Linked DNA regions of Drosophila melanogaster. Changing the gene in region 1 together with any one later gene gives a genetic interaction. Each region holds a gene or a part of one and is shown in the gene's direction. Other genes may lie near its edges. The genes, in order: Pax, bs, ssh and tsr.

Evidence for each region.
Region 2: of Pax (region 1) and bs, changing one suppresses a phenotype caused by changing the other (phenotypic suppression), as found in Drosophila melanogaster (one study listed by BioGRID).
Region 3: of Pax (region 1) and ssh, changing one suppresses a phenotype caused by changing the other (phenotypic suppression), as found in Drosophila melanogaster (one study listed by BioGRID).
Region 4: of Pax (region 1) and tsr, changing one suppresses a phenotype caused by changing the other (phenotypic suppression), as found in Drosophila melanogaster (one study listed by BioGRID).

What each region holds. Positions count from the first base shown.
Region 1 is NT_033779.5:19,419,041-19,426,440, reverse strand, and holds the start of Pax (paxillin), read left to right. Parts: upstream 1-2,888; 5' UTR 2,889-3,026; exon of another isoform or gene 3,027-3,162; intron 3,163-6,249; 5' UTR 6,250-6,487; coding exon 6,488-6,572; intron 6,573-6,673; exon of another isoform or gene 6,674-6,760; coding exon of another isoform or gene 6,761-7,134; intron 7,135-7,265; coding exon of another isoform or gene 7,266-7,344; exon of another isoform or gene 7,345-7,366; intron 7,367-7,400. Other genes in the region: lectin-37Db, read right to left, coding at 6,761-7,134, 7,266-7,344.
Region 2 is NT_033778.4:24,339,741-24,347,350, forward strand, and holds the start of bs (blistered), read left to right. Parts: upstream 1-3,120; 5' UTR 3,121-4,349; coding exon 4,350-4,934; intron 4,935-7,610. UniProt on the Drosophila melanogaster protein: Required for the formation of intervein tissue of the wing. Acts in a dosage-dependent manner to suppress wing vein formation and promote development of intervein cells. Might play a role in the proper formation and maintenance of the trachea.
Region 3 is NT_033777.3:24,938,029-24,945,878, reverse strand, and holds ssh (slingshot), read left to right. Parts: upstream 1-1,983; 5' UTR 1,984-2,229; coding exon 2,230-2,289; intron 2,290-2,357; coding exon 2,358-2,603; intron 2,604-2,668; coding exon 2,669-3,060; intron 3,061-3,352; coding exon 3,353-3,418; intron 3,419-3,481; coding exon 3,482-3,676; intron 3,677-3,742; coding exon 3,743-4,012; intron 4,013-4,097; coding exon 4,098-6,450; 3' UTR 6,451-6,876; downstream 6,877-7,850. Other genes in the region: Nmnat (nicotinamide mononucleotide adenylyltransferase), read right to left, coding at 1-353, 426-621. UniProt on the Drosophila melanogaster protein: Protein phosphatase which regulates actin filament dynamics. Dephosphorylates and activates the actin binding/depolymerizing factor tsr/cofilin, which subsequently binds to actin filaments and stimulates their disassembly. Required for axon growth.
Region 4 is NT_033778.4:24,042,523-24,049,783, reverse strand, and holds tsr (twinstar), read left to right. Parts: upstream 1-2,978; 5' UTR 2,979-3,115; coding exon 3,116-3,118; intron 3,119-4,601; coding exon 4,602-4,792; intron 4,793-4,864; coding exon 4,865-4,970; intron 4,971-5,033; coding exon 5,034-5,180; 3' UTR 5,181-5,331; downstream 5,332-7,261. Other genes in the region: sei (seizure), read right to left, coding at 1-353; gammaSnap1 (gamma soluble NSF attachment protein 1), read left to right, coding at 951-1,015, 1,078-1,145, 1,334-1,449, 1,524-1,718, 1,788-1,858, 1,925-2,279, 2,463-2,501; IntS1 (integrator 1), read right to left, coding at 5,446-7,261. UniProt on the Drosophila melanogaster protein: Exhibits F-actin depolymerizing activity and regulates actin cytoskeleton dynamics. Required for cytokinesis in both mitotic and meiotic cells and for aster migration and separation. Promotes cell motility during ovary development and oogenesis.

The sequences.
Region 1 (7,400 bases):
AAAATTAGTCTCCGGCCAACTCCGCGCTTTTCAGTTGCGGGTGAACAGGAAAATAAAGTGTTTGCGTGGACTTGTCGCTCTTCGCTTTCAATCAGCATCAATTAAAAAACGCGTGTGCTTGTGCCAAATAAATCCAGAAAACTGAGCATTCCAATTGGACAAGAGCGGAAAACTACACGCACACTAACGCACACAGGGCGGAAAAACAACAACACCATCGCCATGGACGATTTGGGTAAGTAAGTGGTGGTCCACTTTTCCTCGGGGAAAAGCGACTTCCTCAAGCGGAGCATTCCACAGCATAAACCGTGTGACGTAGGCAAAAGCCGCAAAGATAATTCTGCGACTTCAAGGTCAGTCGCTAATTGGAGTTAATTAACATGTAGCTGAGGATTCTGCCGTTGGCCGCCAGGTGGCGACACAGGAAGTCGAAAATCTCACGCTTGAATAATTTTCGTTTACAGTGAAGAGTGGCTAAAACGTACCTCACGTGTTGAATGGCAACGTGTGTTCTGTGTATCTTTTTAGTTATTAATCTGTTATTCACTTCTGTTTTAAGAAATTGTTATTATGTAAAAAAGTTTTGAGTGATCTTCAGTCATTGACCGAACAAGATGTGTTATTTGTTTAATATATTTCCCAATATACAAAAATATTTATTATTGAATATTTCTTGAAACTCAATATTTACTGTTTTTCGAAATTCTTATCGTAAGCATACAATCATTAATCACGATTAAAAATGGTTGTGTTACGTGCTTTAAAATTCTTGATGATGAATTTCAAGTGCTCGTCTTATCTTTGAACCCGTTCATATGTACATGGGTCCATACATACATATGTACATACATACATACTTATGTACATACATACATATGTGCAAAGTGCACAAGTAAATGAATGAGCTTTTAATTCGGGAAGTGGCTATTGCGATAGCTGTGGTCCGATTCGCGCATTCCTTGCACTTTTATGAATAATCCTAATTCCTTGAATCGAACATAAAAGCATCGCGCTCAGCACTTCCAGTGTGAAATCATTTACAATTCTAGAAAGCAAGGAGGGTGTGGTTTCTTGCAGCCCCAAGTTCGAAACCCTTGTACTCATGTGAATGATCTGGTCTGAGAGAGGCAGCTTAATCAGCCGGGCTGTATTTGCTTTCTTCGCTGCCCCACAGTGCTCTTTTAGTCTCCATCAGCGAAATAAAAGTCTACATGTCGTCTCACTTTATTTTCTTTATGACACAATTCTTCGCTGTTTCGGAATGTCTTTTGATAAAAATATAAAAGTGAAGCAAAACGAAATCTGCAGCCGAGAGTTGTGTGTCCAGAAATTCTTAAGAAATGACTAAAGGCCAGGCCACTAACACTTATGAAGAATTCCAGCTGACTTGCCCTACACCTACGCACAGTGGTCTAAGAGCCCGCTAAAATTTGCTTATCGGCTGGGCTTGTAGGATTCTAGATCTTAAGAAACTTTCATATAGAGCTTTTGCAAAATCATGTTAAATAACAAATAATATTTCAGATCACTTTTTAGATTACAATAATATAATAATAACTATAATACTGAAATTCGTTCGAGATCTTAAAATCTCAGCATAAATATTCTGCCCTCGAAGCTTTACTTCGCACAGGAAGTAGAGGCTTCAGCTTCATCTCCAACTTCATCTTGATCTTCTCCAGCAACTCAGTTGCATCAATCTTGCTTTGCTGCCATTAGTGAGTGCGCGCCCACTTCATCGCCCACTCGACACGCAATGTCTTCTGTTCGTGTTGCGTGTGCGCACTGTAACAGCAAAGACGAGATGATCTGTCGAGATCGGTTAGGTCTGTCTGGGCATTGAGCGTCGATGGCGTTTTCCGCCGAGGGGAGCACTCCAACTGCAGAGCAATGATCGCTTATGGTTACGGGGAAAGGTTCGCACAGTGGGACGAAAGGTTAAAGAGTTTTTGAGATCCCATTTCTGCCTTTTCTGTGATCGTATCAATGTATATCACAGTGTTCATGGTCATGAAAGTATATAATTAGTTATCTTCTATGTTTGTCGATAAACAATTGTAAAGCCTAAGCAGCTGTTAAGTGATAAGCATTTCCAACATGACTGTCCCAGAGGAATTTTGTTTATACCAATTTTCACTGTCATTTTATGAAACATTTAATCTTGCGGATTGTCTGTACAATTGAAGATAGTTTCAGAAATGTTTTGATATTGGATGCCTTTGACTCACGTTTTCGTTTATTCGTCAGCAACGAAGGGGTTGGTTTTCTTGGCAGCTGGCCCACTGTTCACACACCCAAAGGAAAGCTCCAATCGGGCGACAATATTTTCGTCCGCTCTGGTTTCCTTTCGCTGTGCCTCCCACTTGCGGTCGAAATGCTCAGCCGCAGGCCGCAAGCCAAAATGAAAAGCCACTCCAAGTGAAAAGCTACGTGGTGGGGCTCTTTCTCTCTTTTAACTGGCTCTCTTGGCACTGAAAATAAAATACGACAATATGGACTCTGATTTAAAATACATTTTTTTTAAATTCGATTTTTCAAAATTAGTTTACTACTTGTTTACTAGTTTATTAGTTGTTTACTCAGAAACAACAATAATCATAATACTGGTTTCACAAGCTGTAACCGCTGATACATACTTTTTAAACATTCCTTTAGATATATATTACTTTAGATATAGCCCCTATTACGAAGCTAAGCTATCGTTTTGAATATACTATGCCTATCCATACATCCATACATCTATAAATCTAAGAAGATTTTTTCGCAGTGCAGTTTGTTTACCAGCTCTCAAACGCTTCGCTCTCTTGCTCCCCCGCTCTCCGTGAGCAGCTGCGAGAGAGCCGGAGCGCTCGTCTATTGGAGCCTCAGCATCGGGCCCCCCTTTGGATTTCAGTCGATTGCGACGCTTTTACTGAATCGCGAGCGCAGCGCGTGTGTTTTTCGGAGTCTCTCGATTGCGGTCTCCCAACGGCGTCCTACGATCTCTGGGATTAATATATAGAATATGTGACAACACACTGCCAAAGGTGCAGGCAAAAGTGCACAGATAACGCGATAGAATATACATATAAGAAACCAAGCCTAATCAAAACAAAAGGCAACGAAAAAGTGTTTAACGGCAAACTACGGCGGGAAAAAGTTGATGAAAATCAGTGGAATCGTGTTAGTGGCAGGTTGGAGCGTGGGAAATTGTTTACTTCGAGTGCAAGAACAGTTTGCAGTAAAAAAAAAAGTTGACAAACATCAAAAGATATCTAGCACTAAGATAAACGATAAAGCAGGAATGCCAGAAGCAGTTAGCTAAAAAAAATAATATAATATAATAAACTGGCCAAGATTTATGGATCCGTGTCACTCGCCTTAAGATTCCACTAACTCTTGGCAAATCTTTTCGGCGCGTTGCTCGCAAAACATTTCAATTTCATTAGCATTTCCACTAATTATGGAACTAATTATCAACGGACAAGACATTCGAATATATGACATATTTGCCCAGATCTGGCAGAGCATAGAATTTTGGTTAGCCCCATTAATTTTCGCCTCGGGGCCCCGAACGGATTAAGATCGTGGGTGTGTTGAGATGGAAATTAATTCGGTATTTCTGTGTTTTTCTGGAGGGAAATGACCGAAATAGCCAAACAAACATAACAACAGGCAGCAAAAGCAATTAAATTGTGCCCACTTAATCTATTAAAATTATGACATTTTTCACATATTTCAAGCAATCGAAGCCAAGTGCATTCTCACGAGTGGTGGTGGTAGTGCGATGGGGGGGGGGGGGACTTCCTTCCCCTTCCCCTCGTAAAAGTATCTCGAGTTACGACAGCAGATGGAAATGCTGGAGAATGATGTAAACTCGGCTGACATAGTGCGCACAAATGAATATTTTGTTGTTGGGGGGTTCTGCACTTACGAGAATCGCTTTCGTTTTCTCCCCAATATTTTGTATCTCGCAGATACGTTCAGTGGATGCCATTTGTTTACGACCAGACAGCTGCTGTCTTTGTCTCTCCGATTGTCTGTGCGTTTTGAAACCTCTAACTAAGTATCTACAGATCACTCTGGATCTCTGGATTATTTGGGTTTAAAAGCTCGTTTTAAGCCCCAACTACTTAGCACCTCTGGATTCTCCATCATCGTAATTCATAGTGCAGTGAGTTCATCGCCAGGTTTGAGTTCGATTTTCGTTTGCTCAGCGAGTTGCTCTGTGTTTTGTTGTTGTTGTTCCTTGTTTCTGTTCTTTCAACTGGAAACAAGATTCTTATCGCCCAGCCATACAAATTCAATTAGAGTGTGTTGTTTCGATTGCTAGCGAAAGATGAGTGGCTTCGATAGATTTCGAAATCGTTAATTGTTAGCAGCGAGTTGATGTGCAATTAAAACATTGGGTTAGATTCATTGCTCACAAATATTTTGAAATAAATAAGTGCAATACTATTGAATTGTTTGCAATCGACAAATATAACCAATTAAGCTTCCATTGAGCCAATCAAAAGACATTGATATTTAATTCCAGAAAAGCCTTTTATCTGCTCAGTACGTAGGCCATTGGCCAATATAGGGTCTATATATCTTATCAAGACCCCAAAGGCCCCAAAAGTCAGTGGGCGATAGCTCGTCGCTTTTTCCCGAACCTATTACAGAAGTGGAATGTGAAAAGCACGCACAGTTTACAGCGGCATAAATTGGCCAAGTTTATTGAAAGGCCCGGCTAAAGGCCACTGAGCGGTGAAGAGAGATCGGTATCACCCACACAAATGAATTTCCCTGGGCTGATACCCACTTTTCCGTTTGGCCACGCATTGCGTTTTCACCTTAGCGCCTTCGGCAAGGTCAACACTCGCATTCACACACATTTTATCTACTTACTAATAAAATATTTATATTGAGATCGCTAGGAATTTCCTGCAAAATAAACACGAAATTGTGCCTTTGACTTTTGAATTTGACTTCGTAGAAGGAAGACCGAATCGAGAACAACAATTTCGGCCCGACGTCATTCCCAAATGGACTGAGTAATGCCTCAGGTGTGGAGGTAAATGGATTTGGACTTGACTATAGCCAAGACCTGGAAGGAAAGTGAGATTTTTATTTTCTTATTGCCCTTCCTTTTGGCAACGATCTGCGGAAATCTCTCGTATTTTCAATTAATTTCGCTCGATTTTCCCAGTTTAGCCTCCCTTTGTTAGACGACGAAACGTCGCCTTTGATTTGCTAGAAATGTTTTTTTTTTTTGTTTTTTTATTTTTCTTTTGGATATTTTTAGTTGGCGATCATTGGTGTTGACGTAATTTGGCAACCTTGATTCCCCGTTCCCTTCTCGATACTCGTATTTTTGGCCCGGCTCGCTTTGTGTTCGGTCGGTGAATTTATGTTTATTATTTTTTACCTTTTTCCAATGTGTCGTTATTTGTTTGGAACGAAAATCTAAAATGTGGCCTGCATGTTCATTTTGGTATTTTTATGCTTCCATAAATCTGTCTTTATAGACCGTTTGTTGGCTCAACTAAATCTACAGGCCATCGTAAATTGAGTTAGTTGCATAGATCATCTATTGAGATTCACCCACGCACATTGGGATTAGGAAGTCAGAGTAACTGGTCCGGACTTTTTGGTCTGATTTATCGCTCTTGTTGGTGTTTTTATGGATCTTTAGATACGGTTAGATTGATTTGCATCTTCAGTGATTACGCTATAAAGAACCATTTTTGACTTCTCTATCTTTTTGATCTTTAGATACGGAAGATTAAGGTGCATCTTAAGTAGAGTAATCACTTCAGATGAAGATCATTTGACTTGTTTGACAGTGGACTTTCATTGACTTAACTAAATATCTTTGTTTCGAGTATTGATTTAGGTAATTTATTTCTTAGGTTTGAAGCATGATGAACTGATGAACTGACAGACAATGTTTACATTACCAGTAGATTTATTTCTCGTCTTTTTGAGAGCTCTTCATCATATATGCAGCTTAGATCATAGATCTCTCACCTCACCACATCCCTTTAATCTTTTAATGCGGTATTTTGTCAGTCTCAGTCAATTAATAGAGGAAATTCGAATGCACAAAGCACTCTCCAGACAACAATTTCCAACATTAAATCACTTGGACTTCCACGGGGGCAGGGAACTAGTTTCTTTCAATTTTTTGTTTCTTCTTTTTTTTGTGGACTGGGGCAAAGCTCTGATAGACGGGCGAAGACAACGACAACTTCGACGACGACAACTACAATATCCACTCTCTGACAGGCTAACCCAACGCAAACAAAAACGACAAATCCGTCGTCGAGAGCCCCGAAAGGCCAAAAATAAAAATGCGCTTATAAATAATTCAAATAAAACATTTTGCCGGTGGCGCAGTGCAACATCGTCAGCCAAACCTGCAGACCTGTTTGGGGAACATAAAATGTCACTTAACATATTCTCGATTAATCATTAACGTTTCAATCAAATCAGTGCGAAAAGCAAGTGAATCTCGTTCGACACCATGGATAGAACAATGTACGGAAAGATCGATCCGGGTGCTAGGCAACCATATCGTACGGCTCGCAGCAAGGGTATCCTGCCAGGATGTAAGTATATATCATTGGTTCCACCAATACTTCCCATGCAATATTTAAAGATGTAATGGTTTCCGGTAAAAGTGTGTACCATAATATAAGTTCAACCGATTAGTATTTGCTAGCTAAGAAAAATTGCAGCTTTATAATTTTAACCATTTAGAAAACAAGTTGTTTTGATGGAAGTCCAGAGTTTGATCCTAGTTAAGCTGGCAAATGAAGGCGACGGAGCTATAGCATGGGAGGTCGTTCATCTGGAAGGAGGTTGTCGACAACCACAGCTCGACACATCGATCGTAGCCACTGCTGTTGTCCGGCTCTCCGGCGGACCAGTTAAGAAACGGAGCCTCTAGACCAGTGGCCTCCGACACGTATACGCCCCGTTCGCCGAGGTCATTGATGGATAGCCAATAGCTGTAGGCTGGGTGAAGGTGGGGGCTAAGGAGCTCCAGTTCCTCTCTGCTCTCCAAATTGAGAAGAAATCCGCCATTCTGACGACAGTGGTTGCTTGCCTCGAACCAGTTGGTCTTTGCCAACGAAATGTAGTACTGCTTTTCACCGATCTCTAGGTTATCTAACAAGAATCATTGGTTTATATTGCAGTGTAACGACTTTAAAGGCATCTGCATATAGCTTATACGAAATCTAACCTTACCAATATTAGTTATTTTCATAATAACTTCAAGTAATAACTTCAGTACTTACATCGGTTACCCAAGGGAGATGACTCCAAAGGAAGAGCACTCCAGCATACCAGGAACAGCAGGAGAAGTTTGACCATCATTCCTCGAGCTTCAGTTTGCAACTGACTAAGAGTTTGGAAATTGCTTGTTCAGATAG
Region 2 (7,610 bases), on another chromosome or scaffold:
TGAAAAGACGCGGCACCACCTGCATGCAAATGAGCCGGACTACCGGTAATCAGGTGAAACGGTCACGACCTGTTAATCGTTTTATGATTGTAGCGGTGCTTTTGTTTCCTGTGCACAAACGGTACTTGCACTTCGGCCCAAAAGAAAACCAATGCCCAGAACTGAGAACTGAGAACAGAGAACTGAGAAGCGAAATCGTAAGGCCAAAACCCCCAGCTTTTCCTTTTGTTTTCGCCCAGGGAGCCGCAATTTTATTTAAATTGTAACACAAGCGACCAGACAATTGCCCCGAAGTCTCGCAGAGCTCGATCCTGATTTCGATTCCGATCCCGATCCCGATTCTCAACCCAATCCAATCCCTACTCCCTGCTCCTTATGCGTTATTCATGAGGCAAAAACATTGCGATCGCCTGTACCAATTGCCAATTGGTTCGACTTTTGAGCTGGCGTTGGCGGTTTTCTCTGCCGGCTTTGTCAATCTCAGGCTTTTGGCTTAGTGCGCTGGAGCAGGAGCAGGAGTTGCAGTTGGACCTGGCTTGGTTAAGTGGTTCATTGTCACCCCAGCGCCCAATTAGACACCTGAGTTTCTTGGCCACTCGCTTTCCGGCGATCATACACCGCAGTCATGTGCTCATGTGCCACGTTCTTGCATTCAATCAGATATATTCCGATTGGCCGATCTCGGGCCCATCTGTATAAGGAGTGTGTGTGCTCGGTGGTTTGAGTGTGTAAATCAACCAGCTTGCTGCGCAGATAATAGATATTCTATTTTGAATAATACCTGGGGAGTCGCTTGTACTGTTTTCGTTTTTTTTTTGCTATCTTAATTGCATCCAATTCTACTATCACCAGTCGTACCAATGACTTGCCATCCGAATCTCGTGCTTTACTTGAAATCCTAACACAATATTTCGCAGATACTTTCCCGCATGACCATACTGAAAAAGACAAAAAAAAAGGAAATTTACATATTTCGACTATTTAAAACACTTTGGCTTTGGCTTAAGGCAAATGCCCAAGTAGCGCTATAAATAGTAAAAAAGTCTATATATATAAATATACACATATGTGGCTATGGCTATGGCTAGCTGCAAAATCAAAAGTTGTTCGGAATCGTAAATGGAACAAACGCTCCTCTCGAGTTATAAATATATTTGGGAATATACCTATGCCATCCGTATGCCTAGATGATCTGTCCACCGTTTTGAAGGTGAACTCTGCAGGATTACATAATGCGGACTCTGAGCAGCAGCATCAGGAGCAGCCCCCTAATTCCCCTCGTCCCCTCTCAAATAAATGCACGTAAAACGGCAAGCAAATAATTAAGTATTAGAAATGTTCAGCTGGGGAGAATTCCGCGGAAAGTGCGATGGCAAAAACTACAGCATGTTGCAGTTGTTCCCAGCTGGCCAGAAGCCTCCAAGAGAAGCCAAGAGTTCTCCTCCAGACAGGCTGACGATTGCCTAGAAAGACAGCCGCACTGGAGCCAGCGGACTCCTACTGCCGGTGGAGGAGAAAACGGCGGAGAAAGAGGGCCTGGATGGCTGCAGACGCTGAAGAGCCCAGCCTGCAGCCAACTAACCAATTAGTAAGCGCTGCACAGAACGCGTCTACAATTGTGAGAACCTCAGACCAGGCTTGCAGGCCAACAAGTCAACAAGCCAAGAAGCCAACAGCCAGCAGGCCGTGTGAGTATGATGAAATGTCAGCAGGACCAGAAGCTGCATCGAAATGCACTCGGAGAAATACTTAGCAAACAACTAAAACCAAATTACACAATAAAAAAGTGTCACAGAGCTAGAGATGCATATGTCATATGACCCATCTGTAAACCTAATCCATATAAAATACGGAATTATTAGGAATGCGTGGGGATCATCAAACTTCATCTTTATTTATTGTTCTTTCTTTTCGCAGTCTTGGGGAAATGGGAATACAAGTGGAAGGCATCATTCAGATTCAAGTGACCCAAGTGGCATCCGTTTTCCCGTAGTGTCCAGAAGACCTGGTGCCCGCTGCGTGGATCGATCCTTATATGATCCGCTGGCAGCGGCAAACGTTCTATTTTGACAGTCATTATGATTAATTTAAATCATTAGGCAGCCCGGGCAGGTAGACAAACCATCGAGCTCCTATATTCCATCTAATTAAATGCGAGAGGAGCGGAGCTGCAGTTGGCTGTGGTCCTGGTCCTGGTGCTTGATCGGAGTCGACCTCGGAGTCGGAGTCGTGGAGCTGGACACGGGACCTGGACTGGCTTATTCGCGGAAGAGACAAGCTGGCGACAACGACACCGATGGCTGGAAAAGGCAACGATGACCATTTGCAGCTGGGGAATGCATCATCTTCGATCGCGGATCGGGGCGCAGTGAGTGTATCGATTTATCTGCGCTTACTATATACATATCTGCTGCTATCTGCTAGTCGCTGCACGTGGCCATGCCCACTCCGCCCCTTTGCCCATTCCGCGAACCTCTATTTAAGGACATGGCGAAATACTCGTGCTCCTGTGTACAAGTGGGCCCACCACGCAAATCCTCTAGAGCATTCTGACCATATTGGCGGGGCTAAGAAATTCCTGGCATAGTTTAAGTGTATCGCTTTTTGTTGCTGCGCCCGGGCACTCAAGATGCCCGCAAAGCTCAGCCTGCGAAATGTCGCAAAAGAAATTACAAAATCAGCAATAAGAAAATCAGAAAATCACAAAATCAGAAGATCACAAATTAACTAAATTAACAGCGCTGATAAGGCGAAACGCCACGTATGTAATTACCGAACTCAACCACGAGTTTTCAAGGGGAGGAGCCAATGAGCCACCCAGCCATATGAATCCCAAATCCACGATCTATGTGTGCGCATGCGCAGCGAATGGGTATGCATATGGGGGCGTGGCCATCTAATTAATTAAGCCATAAAGCCAGCAAAATGAACGACGGCAGCAGGAAGACGCCGAACGGGGGTGGGGATTGGGTCGGGGAATGGGGGATTGGGGTTTGTTTTTATGTACTCCGTACTCTTCGCGTTCGAAATCGAAGAGAGCGCGGCGCTCTTAGGAAAAGAGGAAACCGGTTCGCCCAAGTTTGGAATATCGAGCGAACATCGTTGGTGGAAATACGCTGAAGTTTATTAGGTATTTGCACGCCATCTGAAGAACAACGAACGCCAGCTATCGATCGCAAGTTTAGCCCGTCGAATCGTTTCGAATTCGTATTTGGAATGAACCACAATAAAATCGCCACAAATAAAGTAAACAGTCCAAACAAGTGCCTAGCGACAAATAAGCAAACCAACTGCAACGCATACGGAACAAACAAAAACACAAATATTTCCCATAACTGCACTAAATCTACGAAGTCGAAACAAAGTTAGGCGTATTTTTTTTACCAGAAACACTTAAACAATTTTTACAAAAAACGGATATTAATGCAATCAGTTCGAGACAAGCAGACAGCAAGCGGAAGACTTAAGGAGATAACAACTTATAGAGGCCATAATCAAAGGAATAAAGCACCATCAGCCAGCGATGAGAAGGAACGTCTTCAATGATAAACCTTCGAAAACTTTTAGAAAATAGCAAACATCCCAATAAACCACAACAATTATAAAACGCGAGAAAGGATTTGGTAAATCATCTAAAACCAGTTCAACAAACAACACATATAGTAAACATTAAATATTAAATCACAAGTTTTAGAAGGCAAACAAAGATAAAAACTCTTAACACCAGTTAAATAAAATATACTAAAAGAACTGCAACCAAAAAATAACATACAATTAAATGAAATTAAAAGCCATAAAGAAACTTAAAGCCATTGGAAACAAGCCATAAAAGCGGTCCAGAACCTAAATATTAAACACAAACCAAAATTCAAATTCCGCGCCAAACGACCACACTGCGCAACACACGAGCGCTGCATCCCTGGACTTCAGCCGCATTCCAACACTGCAGGACTGTCAGCTGTCAGTTTTCCTGTGTGTGTGCGCGCGTAAGTGTGTGCGTGCACTTAAGAAACTTAAATTCGCGTTCTTGGCCAAAAAAAACCCGGGTTTTTAATAAGTTATAGCGTTTTCCTCGACTGAGAACTTGGCCCCCAGGCAGACGGGCACAAAAACCGCCCCAGAAACGCGCCCGCCGCCGCCAAAAAGGCCGAAAACGCCAGCGAAACGCGCGCGTTGAGTGTTTTCTGTGTGGTTTTATTTTTGGAATATAAAGCGATCTGATCTGAAAAGTGTGCCGCGGCCGGATTCTAGATATTCAGATTCCCAGCACCCGAAACCCAAACGCAATAATAGACGCGCGCGGTGCCTTGGATCTCTACGGCTCCACGGTGGAGAACTTTTACCTCAGAATGGATCCGACGCGAGGTGACTCGCGGTACAATCTCAACTACTCGATGAGTAGCATAGGGCTGAGCCTGGCGGATCCGGCGGACATGTACGGCAACCCGGCCCTGGGGGCGGGCCGCCCGCCCTCCGGTGGCCTGCTCCAGAACATGGGCGGCGTTCCGCCGATGCAGCGCCCCAATCCCGCGGCAGGAGCACCCCCTGCCCCGCAGTGCCAAACGCTCCACAGCCCACAGCACGCCTCCCAGCAGCAGCAGCAGCAACAACAGCAGCAGCAGCAACACCAGCAGCAGCAACAACAGCAGCAGCAGCATCCCCAGCAGCAACGCGGCCTTAAGCGCTCCGGCAGCGACTGCTACGAGGATCACCACCGCTCGTCCGGCGGACTCACCCTCCAAGGACTGGACAACGTGGCCAGCGGAGCCGTCGACGACAGCGTAGACAACTACAACCCGCTGCCCAACAAGAAGTCTCCGCCTGCCAACGGCAAAAAGACAAAGGGACGTGTCAAAATCAAAATGGAATACATCGACAATAAGCTGCGTCGCTACACGACCTTCTCCAAGCGCAAGACGGGCATAATGAAGAAGGTAAGATCGCTGGAGCACCCCTACGCCATCCCCATCCCCAACGATATTTTCAACCCAACCCCGAAACCGAAATCGATCCCCATCCCAATCCCCATTCCAGCCACGATTGGCGCTGCAATTGGGATGTTGACATCGGGCCACGTTTCCAGCGCATGTGCAATTAATAAATGCTTCAGGGATTCAGTTGCGACGGAATCCAGCAGTTCCCCCACATCTCTGGCATTGTTCTGCCTCCGGAAAGAGCGAGGATTTATTGTCAATTGGCCATCGGCACAGTGGTCGGGATAGCTGGCGCACAATAGGAGAACCATCTCGGAATATCAAGTACCCAATGGATATATCCAACAGTTAGACCATTTGTGTACATTACTCGTCAGTTCAAATATTCAAATCTTTCTCTTGTGTCCATTACCAATTATTAGTTCCACTTGGAAGTATGTTTATTGGACCAATACAAATTCTGCTTGGAAATTGCTTATAGGCCACCTTATGTTGGGATCCCAAACCTAATGCTAAACAATTTGATTTAAGACTCAAAAACCCGAACCACTGTGCCCGCGAAGTACCTCTGCTCATCTCTAGAACAGTAGCCGCAGATCCTCTGCTTTTGGCCAGATCGCGTCTGTTTGGCCAACTGTTGGCCGCTTTGGCGGCGTTGTGTAAGCGCGGTAGCCCACGATTCCGCGTTGCCTTTGTTTTCGGCTTCATAAAATGTTAATTTGCCGCCGCAATTGCATTCAAAGGAGGCTCCTGCCCACGGAGCACTCCTCCCCCGAAACAATTGATGCGTGCTCCTTGTGGATGGTGGCCCACAAGTCGCTGCAACTGGCAACGTTGCCTTGGCATTTTCAAATGACCAATTTTCACACGCAAACTTACATAATGCCACTGCATTAGCTCCTGCTGCTTTCCATCGATCTGGGGGCCGTATATGAAATTTTTCACATTTCTGAAATAGACTTCCCTGGCCACTAGCTGAACCAAGCCCCGATCAAAATCAGACAAAAAGCATCAACATCGCGGCGCTAAATCACGATCTCAGCACGATCTTTGCCCAAGACACAAAATCTTATGAAATATTTGACCCAAGCAGACCAAAAACAAAGACGTTGGAGCACTTAAATTTAAAAGGGGAGATTTGGGAAAACGTTTAGCTTGTTGTACGCTAGAATGGCAATAAAATGTCAAGTATAAACTAAATGTTTAATAAGTTTAATTTATTTACTGAAGTTTATTTACTTTCATTATTAAGTCGCAAAGTAACTTATGATTCTTGAATTAGAGGAAGTGAGCAACCCAAACCTGTTAAACTGTTCCTCTTTACCCAATCTCAGTTGATCCCGAAATGGTGTTTCCTTATCGGTGAGGGTATCCAAAACATTTGACCCCTGGGACGTGGATTCTCGGGGCCGAGCTTATGACAGGCGCACGCCCGGGACAAAAGGCCGCTTCCATAATATGCGTTCCAAAAAAATATCGTTTTGGTGACTTTGATGCGGTCCCTCATCGATGTCCAGCCGGCGGACAGTTGACAGGCAGACAATGGGATTTTGACTTGGCGCTACCAGCGGTAGCAGCAAAAAGCGCAGAGGCAATCTGCAATCCGCCATCCCAATCCCAATTCGAATCCCTAGCAGCCAACCAACAAATTGCGGCCAATGAACTTGGCCCAGAGAGTTGTCGCGCCAACCTGCTGGCATGCTTTCCACTGGCCAATTTTGGTCATTTCGATCTGGCCGAGAGCCGGGGCTCTTTTGGCGTGGGTGGCGGTGGTCAAAAGGCCAAAAAAGGCGACGAGAGTGAAAAGTGAGCTAATGTCCAGAAGTGATCTCATTTGCTGGCCAGCCTAATTGCGTGGGCCGCATCATCGATGGATTCGCAGCTTTCGCTTCTGGCTTCTGCATAATGCACGGCCATCGAACAAGAAGCCATCGACAAGTTCCCAACAATTGGCCATGGCTAAAAGGGCAGCCGGGCGCAAAATGCCGCCAAAAGGTGTTAAATTGAAATCACGAGGCCTGGGATTGGGATTGGGGATTGGGGATTGGGCTTGGGAATTGTTTGTTTCGGGGCCAGCTTGCAGCACGGAAGCTTAGGCCGCAGCCTCGTCGGCAGATTGTGCCCAGATAAGACCCAGAAAGCCGGGCCAAGAGGCTCCACGTCGGCTCGCCTTTTGGCCACATGCAACAGGCTGTGGCCTCTGCCACATACGGGGAAAACAGGCAACAATCGGCTTCTAACAAATGACTCTCCATCTGGACGGAGCGGTCGCGGTCTCTGGGGCTGCCTTCTTGTCCTGTCAACGCGCTCGTACCCCAATCCTCGCCCGAATCCGAGTCGTGTCCTTTTGTCTTTGTTCGAAATTCAAATTGACATGAATTGTTGGCCTGCTCGCGGTGCCCAAGTAGCCTTCCTTCCTAGCCGCACAATCGACACCTACTCAGAACCAGCATCTGAATCAGAATCCGAATGCGATTTCGAATCGGAATCAGAACGAGAATAATCGGAATCCGATTCAGATTCCGCTTTCGGACCGTGTCAATTGTTTGCATTTACACATGTTACACATAAAATTGGCAGCCAATCGATGTCTGGCAGGGATGGGGTAGCCCAATCCAATCCGATCCTATCCGATACGATACGATGCGGTGCGATGCGATCCCCGGTATCCAATAC
Region 3 (7,850 bases), on another chromosome or scaffold:
GCACAGTAGCTTCAGATGTACAGGATCCCGACTGTCGTGCAACCCACGAGGCAGCCATCCGGGTAGATGTGTGTTCTCCCCGTCATCTCCGCCTCCCCCGCCGGAATTTATGTGGTTATTGATATAGTTCTGGTGGTGCTGGAGCACCGCCTGCGTGCGCATCCACTGATTCTGGTGCACCTCCCAATCGGACAACCGAATCCAATTGGAGCTCTGGGTGGCCAGCTTGACCATGGCACATCTGTCCAAGGCGGAGGCCAGACCCTTTTTGCCATATGAGTCGTGCGTGGGCGAGATGATGCCACCTACCACTCTGTGGGTTCCCTGCATTTCGAAGTGGTCCTTGGCTATCTCTGTTGACAAAAACATGCCGCGTAATTTTATCGATTATGTACCGCAGAATTTCACAATCTAGTTTAACTCACCGAACATCCGAAGGTGCATGGGTGTGGGTGGACTGAAGCATCCGCAGGCTATGAAGGCGATCCGCGGCAGCAGGCTTTTTGTTTCCTCGATGAATGCTGACATTTTCTTCGATTTTGAGCGTCTTTTAAAAGATCCAAACCGCCGGAAGCATTCGCTTGTTATGTTGTTCTTGGGCCAGCTGATTTTCACAATCATCTGTTCGGCTTGTTGTTATTTTCCAACACTAAACAGCTGTGCAGTGGCTACCACCTCTGACTACCTTTGACTTGTTATTCGATAAATGATAACTTAATGTAACTTAATTTTTTGATTTTTAATCATCAAAAAGGCAAGAGTACATAAAAATGTATTAAAGCCTGTTTTACTGATATATCAAGAAGTATACAAACATCACTGCGTTTCTCATTAATAAGTACTTTTTTCGGTGTACCACACGAACATTGCTTTCGCTTGCGATAGTTAGCCAGCCCTGCCAGAACGATTGCCTGACGATACTAGTGTTATCGATTAGAAATGGCGTCCTCACTGTCTTTCTTTTAAGAAAAATTCGTGTAGTCTATTTACCATTTAGCAGCGTTGTGTGTGTCCGTTAATTGTAAGGACACGCTGTTTCTTAGAGAGAACCGCCTGGCTAGAGTGTCCGGAAAGCGGAAACCAAGACGATCGCAGGACGAGGTCGCGGAGCCGACTGCAAAAACAACGGCCAGCAGGCAGCGATATGAAAATGCATTTGTAGCCTTAGCCCACAACACTTGCACACACACCACACACTCTCGCGCACACTCACACACAGGGAAAAGGAGGTGGAGCAGAAGGAGCCGAAGCAGGAGAGGATTGCAAGGGACACCGCTGCAGCATCGCCATCATCTGCGCCAGGTGGAACACGAGGGTCAAGAGGCGTCGGCGGGGGAGGAGGAGCAGGAGGTGGAGGAGCGGCTGCGGCGACGACGACGACGTCCACGACCACGGCAACAACAAATGGCGCTGGTGACGGTGCAGCGCTCTCCCAGTGTGGCGGGCTCCTGCTCGAATTCGGTGAGAGGAGACTTGATGGTTTTCGCGTGTGCGTATGCGTGTGTGCTTTGTTTTGGTCACCCCCACTCTGCCAGGAGAGCCAATTACGGGCAGGCTCTTTAGTGCGTGTTCCGCTTTTGGCCATGATCCTTTGTGTGCTCGGATGTGCTTTTCATGCCCAATGTTTATCATCCGCCAGCTTGTTGCTTACGCTTTTTGGATTTCGACGTTCAACGTTCGCGTGTGGGCGGTATGAGGCAGCGTCATCATCGTCATCGGCTGTGCTGCGCTGCGCTGCTTTTGGTGTAACCCAAGCAAATCCGCAGACGTCGCGACGTCTATATTTTTCAACAGACTTTTGCATTGCCTTATTTGTCGTTTTTGTCGCTTTCCGCTTACCGCTTGTTTTTGTTTTCTTCGCCGCCCCACCGCCCAAAAATAGTTCGCGAGACCTTGACGTCCGCCTGCACAGAGGGAAAAATTAATATCGGGGGTTGATCAATTTAATTTTACAAAACGTTTTAATTCAGATATGCTCAATATGTCAAATCGGTATTTTTGAACACATAAATTAACATTTTATTATTTCTAAGAAATCAGAAAATATAAAAAAAAAAAAAATACTTCACTAAACCGGAATCTTTTTCGAACTTGTGACCCTTTTCTCAAAATCAGACGGTATTCAGTTGAACAATCAGATTTCTTGGAACTGCAGATACAGCTTTGCTTCTTTTCCGCCCTTGAAGTGTAGACTATAATCAGGAGTTTATCTTACCCCTTTGCAAAATAATGAGCATGCAAGTTTGTTCTTTGCCAGACGACATCCTTATATTTAGCCTAACCCCACGGGTGAGGTGCAGCAGGATAAGGTATTCTTAAACACCGAGTAAACAACTTTCCTTTCTCTATAACATCAGGATGGCGAGTCCGAGGACGACGAGGGCAATAGCAAAGGAAACGATCGCAGCGAGTGCTTCTTTGCCGGCAAGGGAACCGCCCTGGTACTGGCTCTTAAGGATATCCCGCCCCTGACGCAAAGCGAGCGTCGCCTGAGCACCGACTCCACCCGCTCCAGTAACAGTACGCAAAGCAACAACTCGGACATCCAGCTCCACCTGCAATCAATGTTTTACCTGTTGCAGCGCGAGGACACGCTAAAGATGGTGCGTATCCAATGTAAAATTACTTTGTCTATCTTTTAAACATATCTTTCTATTCCTATCAAAAGGCTGTCAAGTTGGAGTCACAGCGGTCCAACCGCACGCGCTATCTGGTGATTGCATCGCGTAGTTGTTGTCGGAGCGGCACCAGCGACCGTCGGCGCCACCGGATCATGCGTCACCACTCGGTAAAAGTTGGTGGATCCGCGGGAACAAAGTCGTCCACCTCCCCGGCGGTCCCCACGCAGCGTCAGCTGTCCGTTGAGCAGACCGCCACAGAGGCCAGCAGCAAATGTGATAAAACAGCAGACAAGGAAAACGCAACGGCGGCCGGCGACAACAAGAATACCTCGGGCATGGAGGAGTCCTGCCTGCTGGGCATAGACTGCAACGAGCGGACCACCATTGGCCTGGTGGTGCCCATCCTGGCGGACACCACAATTCACCTGGATGGCGATGGGTAAGACTGGGCATTCATCTCGTAAGAGTCATGCACTCATAACTGCCTAATTGTCGCTATTAACCTTGGGAATTATTTATAGAATTAATTTAAAAATTAGCCGCCCCTAATCTATACACAAATCGGTGTCGCCTTGACCAATTTCCTAGTTGAGCGGTGGCATTTATGTCGCACATTTGTTTCCAATTTATCTTAAGCTATTTTAATAATAGCATGGCAGAGTGTATTTGTTCTGATAAACGTGTGATGTGCATTTCCTTAATTTCAATGGTTTATCTTATCTTGCTTTCAGCGGATTCAGCGTCAAAGTGTACGAAAAAACGCATATATTTAAGCCGGTCTCAGTGCAGGCCATGTGGTAGGTGCCTCCTTTGGAGTCAGATCCCCTTCAGTCACAAATTAAACCCTTGTTTCTTTCCAGGTCCGCGCTGCAGACGCTGCACAAAGTGTCGAAAAAGGCTCGTGAGAACAACTTCTATGCCAGTGGACCCTCCCACGACTGGCTATCCAGCTACGAGAGGCGCATCGAGTCGGACCAGTCTTGTCTGAACGAGTGGAATGCCATGGACGCGCTCGAGAGCCGCCGACCACCTTCGCCTGATGCCATACGAAACAAGTAAGGGTTCGGTACAACTAATTATTTACGGTTTTAATTCCTCTTTCCCTTGAATGCCATAAACAGACCCCCCGAAAAGGAGGAAACCGAAAGTGTCATTAAGATGAAGCTGAAGGCCATCATGATGTCAGTGGACCTGGACGAGGTCACCTCCAAGTATATACGCGGACGCCTCGAGGAGATCCTGGACATGGATTTGGGCGAGTACAAGTCGTTTATCGACGCCGAAATGCTCGTTATTCTAGGCCAAATGGATGCCCCCACCAAGATTTTCGAGCACGTCTATCTGGGATCAGAGTGGAATGCCAGCAACTTGGAGGAGCTGCAGAAAAACGGGTATGTTTAAGAGAAAAAAAAGGCCACACTATTGATATCCTGGGAAAATTGGCTAAAATCAGCGACAACTTATTTTCATTTTCAGCGTTCGCCACATCCTGAACGTGACGCGGGAGATCGATAACTTCTTTCCGGGCACCTTCGAGTATTTCAACGTTCGCGTGTACGACGATGAGAAGACGAACCTGCTCAAGTACTGGGACGATACGTTCCGCTACATCACGCGGGCGAAAGCCGAGGGATCCAAGGTGCTGGTGCACTGCAAGATGGGCGTCAGCCGATCCGCCTCGGTTGTCATCGCATATGCCATGAAGGCTTACCAGTGGGAGTTCCAGCAGGCGCTAGAGCACGTGAAGAAGAGGCGCAGCTGTATAAAGCCCAACAAGAACTTCCTCAATCAGCTGGAGACGTATAGTGGGATGTTGGACGCCATGAAGAACAAGGAGAAGCTGCAGCGCAGCAAGAGCGAGACGAACTTGAAGAGCACAAAGGACGCGCGACTGTTGCCTGGTAGCGAACCAACGCCCCTCATTCAGGCTCTAAACCAGGCCAAGTCGAAGTCGACTGGTGAAGCGGGCGTAACACCCGATGGCGAAGAGGAGGATGGTTCACGCATGCACCGGCGATCCATCGCCCAGAAGTCACAGCGTCGCATGGTTAGGCGCTCGAGCAGCACATCACCCAAAACCCAGACGGCTGTGGTTACCAAGCAGCAAAGCCAGTCTATGGAGAACCTTACGCCGGAACGTAGCGTGGCCGAGGAGCCAAAAAATATGCGCTTCCCAGGCAGCAACGGCGAGAACTACAGCGTCACCCAGAACCAGGTGCTGCACATCCAGAAACACACGCCTCTGTCAGTGCGCACACGAATTCACGATCTCGAGGCGCACCGGGCGGACCAGCTGCCACAGCAACCTGTCTGGACCTCGCTGACAAAACTGATTACACAGACCTCTCACTTGGGAAAAAGTGTCAGTGGCAGCAGTAGTGGAAATATTGACTCGCGGCGGGATTCTAGCTGTTCGGATGTATTCTCCTCGCAGGTGGACAGTGTTTTTGCCAAGGATGAAGGGGAGAAGCGCCAGCGTCGAAAGACGCACTCCTGGACAGAGTCCTTGGGTCCAAGTGGCGGCATCGTCCTGGACCCCACGCCACAGCAACAGAAGCAGCAGTCAAACGCCATTCTGCGTCCCCGAGGCACACGTCAGCGGGAGCTGCCTTCGCGGCACGCAAGTTGGGGATCAGGAGACAACCGATGCTGTCTGCCGCAGAGGACCAGTTCCGGCTCCTACTATGACTCCAATCGCAACACTACGGCCATCTTCGAGGGCGTTATCCAAGACCTCAAGCGCAGTTCCAATTGCAATGTAATCGAAGGAGTCGCCGTTGCTGTGGAACCGATAGTTGGAGTTGGCGAGGGCACCGTAAAGCGCACCAAGCAGAAGCTGGAAGAGAGCACCTCGCTGAAAAAGCGCTGCCAGGAAGAAAGCCAGGAGCTGCTACTCGAGGCTGTGGATGCTGGGCAGAGGCGGTGCCCAAGCCTCTATAGGAGCGCCTCCTCGGCGCACAGTCCGCGGCAGCGTCAGCCACTACGCTGTAATAGTGAGGAGCTGATGCACACCAGCGACATCGAGAACAAGAACACCACGCCAGGCGACCATGAGGCGACGGTAGTGCTGCGCGTCCAGGGACAAACGCTGGCCGACGATCAGCGCATCTCGGGCAATGTGCAAATACTCAAGCAAAATTTCGAAGCCAAAGCGGGAGTGGTGGGCACAGGAGGAGGAGGAGGCGGTGGCACTGCAGCGGGATCGGGCAGTAGTTCAACAATCGCAACGTCGGTATCGGCGGTGGCCGGAGCCTGCTCAGCGAATCCCGGCAAGAAGACGACTAGCCACCAATCACTGCCATCGTCGCCGGTGGCGCAGCATGCCAACCACGTGTCCGCCGCCTCCAACTCCAACTCCTCCGCCTCCAACTCGTCCGATTCCAGCGTAAGCGAAAATTGTGATCGTAATGTAAAAGGTCTAGTGCATAAATATCAAACCACTACTTCCTGCAGTAGCCAGGCGGCCGCCACCCCCACAGTCGCCTGTGCCCCACTGCCACCCGCCGGAACCGCCAGCAACATCAGCCACTCCTGCAGCACCACTACCACTACTAGCTTCAAGCAACGCCCGCTCTCCTACTACGACCGCTCGCTGTCCAACAGATCCACGCATGACTATAGCGACAGTCGACCGCCACCCGCGCCCGTCCGCGTCAGTCACAGCAGCAACGTTCAGCACCAGCAACAGCAGCAGCAACAACTGCAACCGGAGCAGCATCAGCAGCAGGTGCAGATCCGGCGGTTGGCGCAGCACGGGAAGACGCATCCGCTGAGCAGGCTAAGTGCTCCGAAAACAGGCTTTAACACCGCCGCCTACAACACCATGTAAAGGCCATGCTCTGCTTAACAACATGCTAACTGCAAACTGCAACATTCACATACCACTTGCAACTTGCAATCCATACCCTGTAGCCACTAAGGATCGTCCTCATCCTATCGCCTGCTTTACTTATTTATATACTCGCCCGCTTTCGACCATTTTGTGTTTTTTGTCCAACAATCGAACACCACCACCCCATCCATCCCCTCCATCATGCCTCGTGTTTGTTGTCTTGTTGTGTAAGGCGTCCATGAAAGCTTCTAAAGATCTTGTGTCTGCAATGTGTGAATGGAACTATTAAGATGACAAGAGAGGGCAAACAAAACAACCTATGGAAATGAAACTGTATTTGTACTTTTAAATTACTTGTAACTGTATACATATTTATTTTATATTATGCAAGAACTGCCTACGAATAAACGATTTATTGTATATACGTCATCGTCTTGTCTTGTGAGTGTCCCTGTGCCGTCCATGTGCCATTCACACCACAACTCCCATGTGTTGCCCAACAAACACTGCCCTCCGTTTTTACCAGATTTGTATTTGCAGCCTTATCCACATGATCCGCTCCTTCCGCTACTCTTGGGCGGAGTACAAGAAGTGATCCGGCACATGGAGCACCGACTGCCGAGGCCGCGGCCCAAAAGTTCCCACCTTGAACACTTGTATTTTTTGCCATTTATCAGACCACATATTTATAAATAAAAATGTGTAATCCAATTTCGAGCGCAATCTGTTTTACTGTTGGCCATGAGTCACCTTTGGGTACACACATAATTTAATAGTGACCGGAGATATGAATTATTTTCACATATTGTATAATTACAAAGAAATTAACAATTACTATTTAATATAAATGTAATTTGATGTAGTTTGGGGATTTTAAAGTTAAATGTAGATATAGCAAGGTGTGTATGGAAGGAAAAAATATATGGGTTCTAAAAAGTTTTTTTTTTAACAAAATCCTTATCGATTTGAAAATAATAATCATATTTCTAAATATTGTTTAACAAAATCCTTATCGATTTGAAAATAATAATCATATTTCTAAATATTGTTTAAGCTTTCTAACGGCACAGTGTTTGAAAAAGATTTTTTCAGATCGCAGATTATCGTTGCCTATCGCCCATCGATATGTGTAGGAGGAAACGCAACCAACCACCTGGTAACACTGACACTCACACACCTGCAGATGCGCCAGCACACACACACAGAACACACACGCACACAGACGCGCACTGAACTTCCACTACAGTTTCTTTATTTTCTGCAGGAAAATTAGAAGCAAAACGACACGAAATTCGCAGTGAACTCGCGGCGGACTCGCGACCGTAACGTAATCGGAATCTCGGTGGTGATCCGGAGGCCAAGTGCACACCGTGCGATGCTAGCCACTGGCCAGCAAT
Region 4 (7,261 bases), on another chromosome or scaffold:
GTGGGTCGAGTCCTCAGGAATTTGTGGTACACCAGAGTGTTGTGGTCGGACACGTTTTTCGGAAACCGCGCCAAACTCTCCTTCTTGTCGTCGAACATGCTGGCGTTAATCAGGATATCTGAAACGAAAACCTGCTTCTTTTCAATCTTGTTCAGGTTGCACATGAGCGAGAAGAGTTCCCTCTCCACAAATTTGTTCGATTTTGCAGGGCAATTGCGCTTGAATTCCTTCACAGGCGGTTTCTTGGCCGCATTATCGTTAATATTGTTGTTGGACATGTACAGCTCGCATTGCTGCACTATTTTATCCAATTTTCGAATTTCGCTCAGTTCCACGCAAGATTTGTGGGACATTTTTAAGTCTGCAAAGTATAGAAACGAAAAAGTGTTGCAAATTATAATCAAACATTCGCAAAGCTCAGAATATCCGGATTCGTAAGCAAATTCAAATAAATCTTCGCTTAAAAACAACTTAATAATAAATCCAAAATTTCCACTTACTCCAGATTGAAATTGGCGAAAACTGCGATTTCTTACCTAATGCACTTTCTTATTTACTTGCAAATCAAAACAGAACAGGTATGACATGCACGCGGAGAAATCAGGAGTGGAAAATCATTTTCAATCAATTAAAAACACTTCAATTCGATCTTGTTCGTTACACATACTCTACTTTTTAAATATCATAGATAAAATAAAAAAATGAATAGATGTATGTAAATACATGGCATTTTCATTTCGAAGTCAACTGCTTTATAAGACCAACTTTTTTTTCCCGGTGTAATCAGGCTTTGCTTTTCTGAAATTTTCAGACATGCGTACTGCTTTCGGTTTTCAAAGATTCGAAACCACCGTGATTTTCGAACCATTGTTATTTTCCTTCTCGCATTCGGTCACACTATTTTCAAACGTAAACAATTGATTTTTCCTGCTAAACAAAAGTGGTTGAAAATGTCGGGAATCGCTGCCAAAAAGATTGCCGAAGCGGAGGACCTGGTGAAGCAGGCCGAGAAGAGGTATCCCCAACAAAAATATCCTTATAAAGGGGTTTCCAAATAACACCCATCTTTATTTGCAGCTTGAAGTTGTCCATGCTGAAATGGGTTCCTGATTACGATAGTGCTGCGGATGAGTATTCCAAAGCTGGTGAGTTTCACAAAGTAGGAGTGACTAATATCACCCAGAGTATCTATCTATAAAAACATTGTGACATCAATGAGATATGTAAATACTATGAATTACAGCTAACGATTATCCCAAAGTATCCATAACTTGCAAGATACACACATATTGGTGTACAATTATGTATCTTTCTTTTACATTTTTAATTGCAGCCACTGCATATCGAATAGCTAAAAGTTATGATAAGAGCAAGGAGTGTTTTCTGAAGGCAATCGACGCCTATAAAAACAACAAGTCTTGGTTCCATGCTGCAAAGGCATACGAACAGGTGAGCTTAAATTGAAGTTAATATAAGTGAAGTTAATAGGAAATTTAAACCCTCTAAATGTGCACATCTTCTAGATCATTTTGCTGTCAAAGGATGCCGATAAGCTACACGAAGTTGAGGAATACGCCAACAAATCGGCGAGTTTGTATCAACAGCACGGTTCCCCAGAGGCAGCCGCATCCGCCTTGGATAAAGCCGCCAAGTTAACTGAATCCAAGCATCCTGACATGGCTTTGCGCTTCTATCAGCATGCTCTAGAAGTCATAATGGTTCGTCCTATTTGACACTGCTCTAGTCAATTCCATTCTTAAACTATTAATTTTATACTTACCCGACAGATCGAGGATTCCGTCCGTCAAGCAGCCGAGTATGCATCAAAAGTTTCCAGGATACTGGTCAAACTAAGGAGGTATGTACCTATGATTGCAACGAATCACTTTGGGTATCCTTAGCTTATATCATCCAATCACTCCAGGTACGACGAAGCCACGAATGCGCTCAAAAAGGAGATCAGCTTGAATCAGCAAACGGAATCTTACGGACAAATTGGACGCCTAGTTGTGGCCTTGGTGATGGTCCAACTGGCTCGCGGGGATTCCGTGGAAGCCGAAAAGACCTTCAGGGAGTGGGGAAACTGCTGCGAGCCAGAGGAAGTGTCCACACTGCAGACCCTTCTGCAAGCCTTCGATGACGAGGATCCCGAGTTAGCTGCTAGGATGCTGGCATCCCCATTCATACGACATATGGATGTTGAGTACGCTATTCTATCTAAAAACATTCCACTACCTCAGGGTATACAGATGGAGAAGAAGGCTGGCGACACTGCTGCTGTGAGTATTTTTATTCTAAAAATGGAATTTGCAATTTTTGTTTTGTAAATTTGGCTCTTATTATGATGTTATCGATAGGCGATTGAATCTGCCTTTGTTGTCGATAGAAGACTTGGGACAGTGCGAAGCAGTAAACTAAATAGCTAACAAGAATTTCGTATTTTCTCTCTTTCTCTCTCGCAGGAAACCAACGACGCCGAGGACGAAGGTGGCTTGTGCTAAATTTCTTAATGTTCGGTCTGCTTGTTAGTCAAAATATATTTATCGTTAATAATATCGCTTTTAACATATTATATTAACTGTTAAATACAAATTTCATCGCAATCGTTGTACTAATTAATAAATACTAAGATCAATACTATACAACAAAGAATATCATTAGCTTTGGGATGAATTGATATTGAAGTAATAAATTGTAGCTATAAGTGTAAACTATGTATATATATTCTATGTTCCAAAACAGCGAATGTGTTAAGATTCAAATCTGTAAATCTTCAGCTTTATTACACGAAAGTATAGTGCAATTTGTTAATATAAATAAATAAATTAACTCAAACTATACTATGTATTTTAAAGCACCCTAAAATATTTGACATTTTGAAAGATCGAAAGTGTGCCATTTCACCGTTCCAAACGCTTCACAAACGTCGCGACGCGTCACGACGCATGTTGATACTTTGCCGGCGCCTGGCAACCCTAACCTGTGCGAAATAACCGACCAAATTGATTCGTCCGGTTGTTCGTGAAAGAAGGCGGAAGGTTAAACAGTATTTGTAAAATATATACTCGGCGAAGCAGCAATTTGAGAATTGTGAAAGCGAAAAACTACAGGAAAAATGGTACGTACACTTGGGACTCGCATTCAGACTCGGTGGTAAAAGCGGCCGGTCATTGTGCACTTTTGGAAGCGAGGTGGAGTGCAAATAATGTCTTCGATTCGATGAATCATATAAGCATCTCTCCTTTGAAATCTGTATATACATACATATTTAGATAAGTGTGTATATATCAATCATACATATATTTCCACTTTTTTTTGCCTATATGTTCGTTGGCCATATTCGGGCATATACATGGTCATGAATGTGTGCGTATACATATATACCAAATTAGTCATTGGTAGCAGCGGATATTACTCATTTATTGGAGTGTTTCATACTTCTCAGCCGCCACTCACACTCATAACTGGCAAATTCGCGAAAGGCAATCGCGAAAGAATGCTCCAAAGTGGCAGCTGGAAAAATGGAGCGATTAAAAATTGAAATGTTGGAAAGAGAAATGCACACACATTGGATTTTCATGTCTATACATATATATATTTTTACACACTTGAGCGTGTGTGGGTATACCGCTTTTTTTATATTTCGATGGCTATAAATATGTGCGTATGTATGTATCTGCGGGGCAATGCTTAATGCTTATTTTCTCGCAGACGCAAAATGTGTGTACATATGTACGTCCATATTACCATACAGAAATATGTATCAATATATATCCATATATGTATCTGCAGGCATACATATTTAAGGTGTGATCGTTTCCTTGCCGCCTTGCGGATGTTCATACATACATACACATGATGTTTAGCTGTGTGTGTGCAGCAGACGACTGTTTGCATGTGGGACGATTTTGATTTTCTCGACATTTTCCGAATATTATGGAAAATCGGGCATTTTCCACCGTTTTGTGAGCGCAACGAAATCGTGGGGAAACAGCCACCTCCCTTTTAGTTTTCTTTCTCCCTCTTGTCGGCTTGTTCTCACCCTTAAACTTGCCGGCACTTGTGAACTTACCCTTGAACTTTCCGAGCGCCGGGAAAAAAAGAAAGGAAAATCTAACTGTAAATGGTGCCACGCCCACCACTCCCAGATAAATCGGCGTGCCAAGTGTGCGCACGCCTTAACCGGTAAAAGTTCTGCGGTGGCAATGCAAATAAAGTAGCATAAATTATTTACCTTTATGTTTGTTATTGCCGGCAATCAAAGAAATAAAATTGCAAAGTCGAAAAGGGACGGATATACTGTCAGCTGAAGGTGGGCAGTTATGTCTGCCAGTCAGTTACATACGCACATATGTACATCAGTGAGGTACAGGGTGCCTCGTGTCTTATGTGGGCATAAAACATTGAACTTCACTTATTTTTTTTTACAATTCAACTACTTGGTACTTCATGAACATTTGTTTTAAGGGAATACTTGGGGAAACGCAAAGAGAGCACCCTGTATCACATACATGCACACACACTTGGTTGACAGTTTGGCGCGCATTGAACATTCAAAATACATTCTCTGATTTGCATCTCTACCTTCTCTCTCTCTAAAGGCTTCTGGTGTAACTGTGTCTGATGTCTGCAAGACTACATACGAGGAAATAAAGAAGGACAAAAAGCATCGCTATGTCATCTTTTACATTCGCGATGAAAAGCAGATTGATGTGGAGACTGTGGCAGATCGCAACGCCGAGTACGACCAGTTTCTAGAAGATATCCAGAAATGCGGACCTGGAGAGTGCCGGTAAGTTCCGCCGGTTAGAGACACCCAGACCCATCGAAACTAACCTAATTTAACATCTATTCGCTTGCACAGGTACGGACTGTTCGATTTCGAGTACATGCACCAGTGTCAAGGCACCTCTGAGAGTTCAAAGAAGCAAAAGCTGTTCCTTATGTCGTGGTGTCCCGATACTGCCAAGGTATGTGAATAGCCAGTTGCCAAGTAATGGCGCAGAACTCATTTCGATATCACACACCCACAGGTCAAGAAGAAGATGTTGTACTCCAGCTCCTTCGATGCTCTCAAGAAGTCGCTCGTGGGCGTCCAAAAGTATATACAAGCCACTGATCTTTCCGAAGCCTCCCGGGAAGCCGTCGAGGAGAAACTCCGGGCCACCGACCGCCAATAAACTGTACGAGCACTGTGCATTGCATTTAACAAACAAGGCATGCATGAAACAGCGATGGAAACACGTATCCTGTTGAGATCGCCAATTTGTATGAGAATTTTCTACATAATTTGTATTTTCAGTAGAAATAAAGAATGAAATATTTAACTTGACCAAGTCGCGTTTCCGCTGTGGTAAAAATCTCGTACCGCAGAATACACTTTATTATAAGGAGCAAAGATTACATTGTACATATGATGACGGTTCTAACTTATAGACCGAACGCTTAATAGCCATGCTGGATCACTAGAGTCTGGAGAACCTTTCTAATCTGGTGGCCAGTGTTCAGGCACGACTTCAAGCCCAGCGAGAAGGCCACCGTTAGGATGTCGATTGCGTGTTCCTGCAGCAGCACCGACATCTCCGGCAGATTGTCAATGGCCGTCGCTGCCACCGAGGAGTTCTCGTCCCGCAGGCACTGAATGTAGGCGTTAAGGGTGCACAGGTTGATGTCCGAATTGCCGGGATTGTGCTTCAGATGCCTGATCAGTATGATGAAGGCGATGGACCGGATCTGGGCACTCGGCGAGAATATAAGGTTGAGCAGTCGTTCGAACAGCTCGTTGATGAACACAAATCTCTTGGAAGTGAGGCACTCCAGCTCCTGCATGGGACCCAAGACCACGTCCTCCGTGTTGGACTGCTTTATGATCTTGACCAGATCGAGGAAGTGCGGCGATATGTCCGTGTAGTTCGACCGGCTGTACGAGCCCAAGGTTAGAACCGATAAGGGACCCCTACTGCTGCTTGGATCGATGGGTGTTTGCGGATTCACTTCGATGGGATCCTCTGTTACCACGGGCTTGCTGGCCGATGGCTTTACATCGAAATGCTCATCCAGATCGTACTCGTACTTAACTTCCTCGTCGTCCAATTCCGTCGCCGAGTGCGACTTGTGCTGCAGCAGGGCAACGGCCTGGACCAAAACCTGCAGTTTGCCTAGTGAGGTGTACTTGGCTGCAAGTTCCTTCAGGATGCCCACGTACTGTTCGATGAAGAGCAGAGCACTTGAGGGATTGTAGTTGATGTAGGCTTGGAGCATCTGCACAAACTTGTTCAGCATTTGGCAGGCCTCTTTTACGTTGCTGTGGTGCTTGAAGAAGTTGAAGTAGCACGACAGCGTGTTTTGGATCTCGTTCTTGTACGCCTCCTCAAAGATGGTTGGTTGCAGCAGCTCCAGCGTCCTCAGGATCTGTACAAATCGGTGGAAGTGGTGCTCCTCGCGCAGGGCCTTCATGCTGAGCTGGGCCCGACCTTGCATAATGGACGACAGCACGCCCAGCTGGCGAAGGAAGAGAAGCGGGTGGGAGGCAGCCAGCTTGCGAAGGAGCAGCTCGGTGTCCGTGGACAGGGTTTCAAAGTCCTTTTTGCCCACCAGACTGCCCAAGCAGGTGATCAGATTGTTGGACACCTTGTCCGCCTGGCAGCCCTTCAGATTCTGCAATTTGTACGCCTGCTCGCCGGTTTTGCCCGGTTTCAGAAACTTGATGCGCGGATACATGATGTACATCTGCTGGAGGACCTGCAGTTTCAAGTAGTCGGACACCGAACTTTTCTCCACGTGCTCCATTACCTTGACCATGAGGTCTCGTCGCTTCTCTGTGAGCTTAAACAGTAGGTTCATTCGCGAGCAGAGCTTGAAATCATAGTTTTTGCTGTCCAGCTTGACCTCGGAAAGCCCTTCGTGAAGGATGAAGTGGGAGAACGGCTCCAGTTCAGAAGTCCTCAGCATGAAGAAGGCATCCGGCCGTACGTTCTTCGACATGTACTTGTCGCGTCCCTTCCACAGCTTCGGATTGGTGGTCAGTGCCTCGAAGTAGTTGAGGACGGTGGCGTAGTCGTAGTCTTCATGGAAATTCTTGAACAGGTACTCGGCAATCCTTTCGATCGTGTCCCAGTTGGTTTGGTGGTTGATCAGGGACAACAGATAGAACCTAAACTCGCTGCAGGACTTTGAGAACAGAAAGCGCTCCTTCATTAGCTGAGTGGAAACTATCTCGGGATCCATTTCGGACAGCCAGTCGATGAAGAGCCCGTTGTGG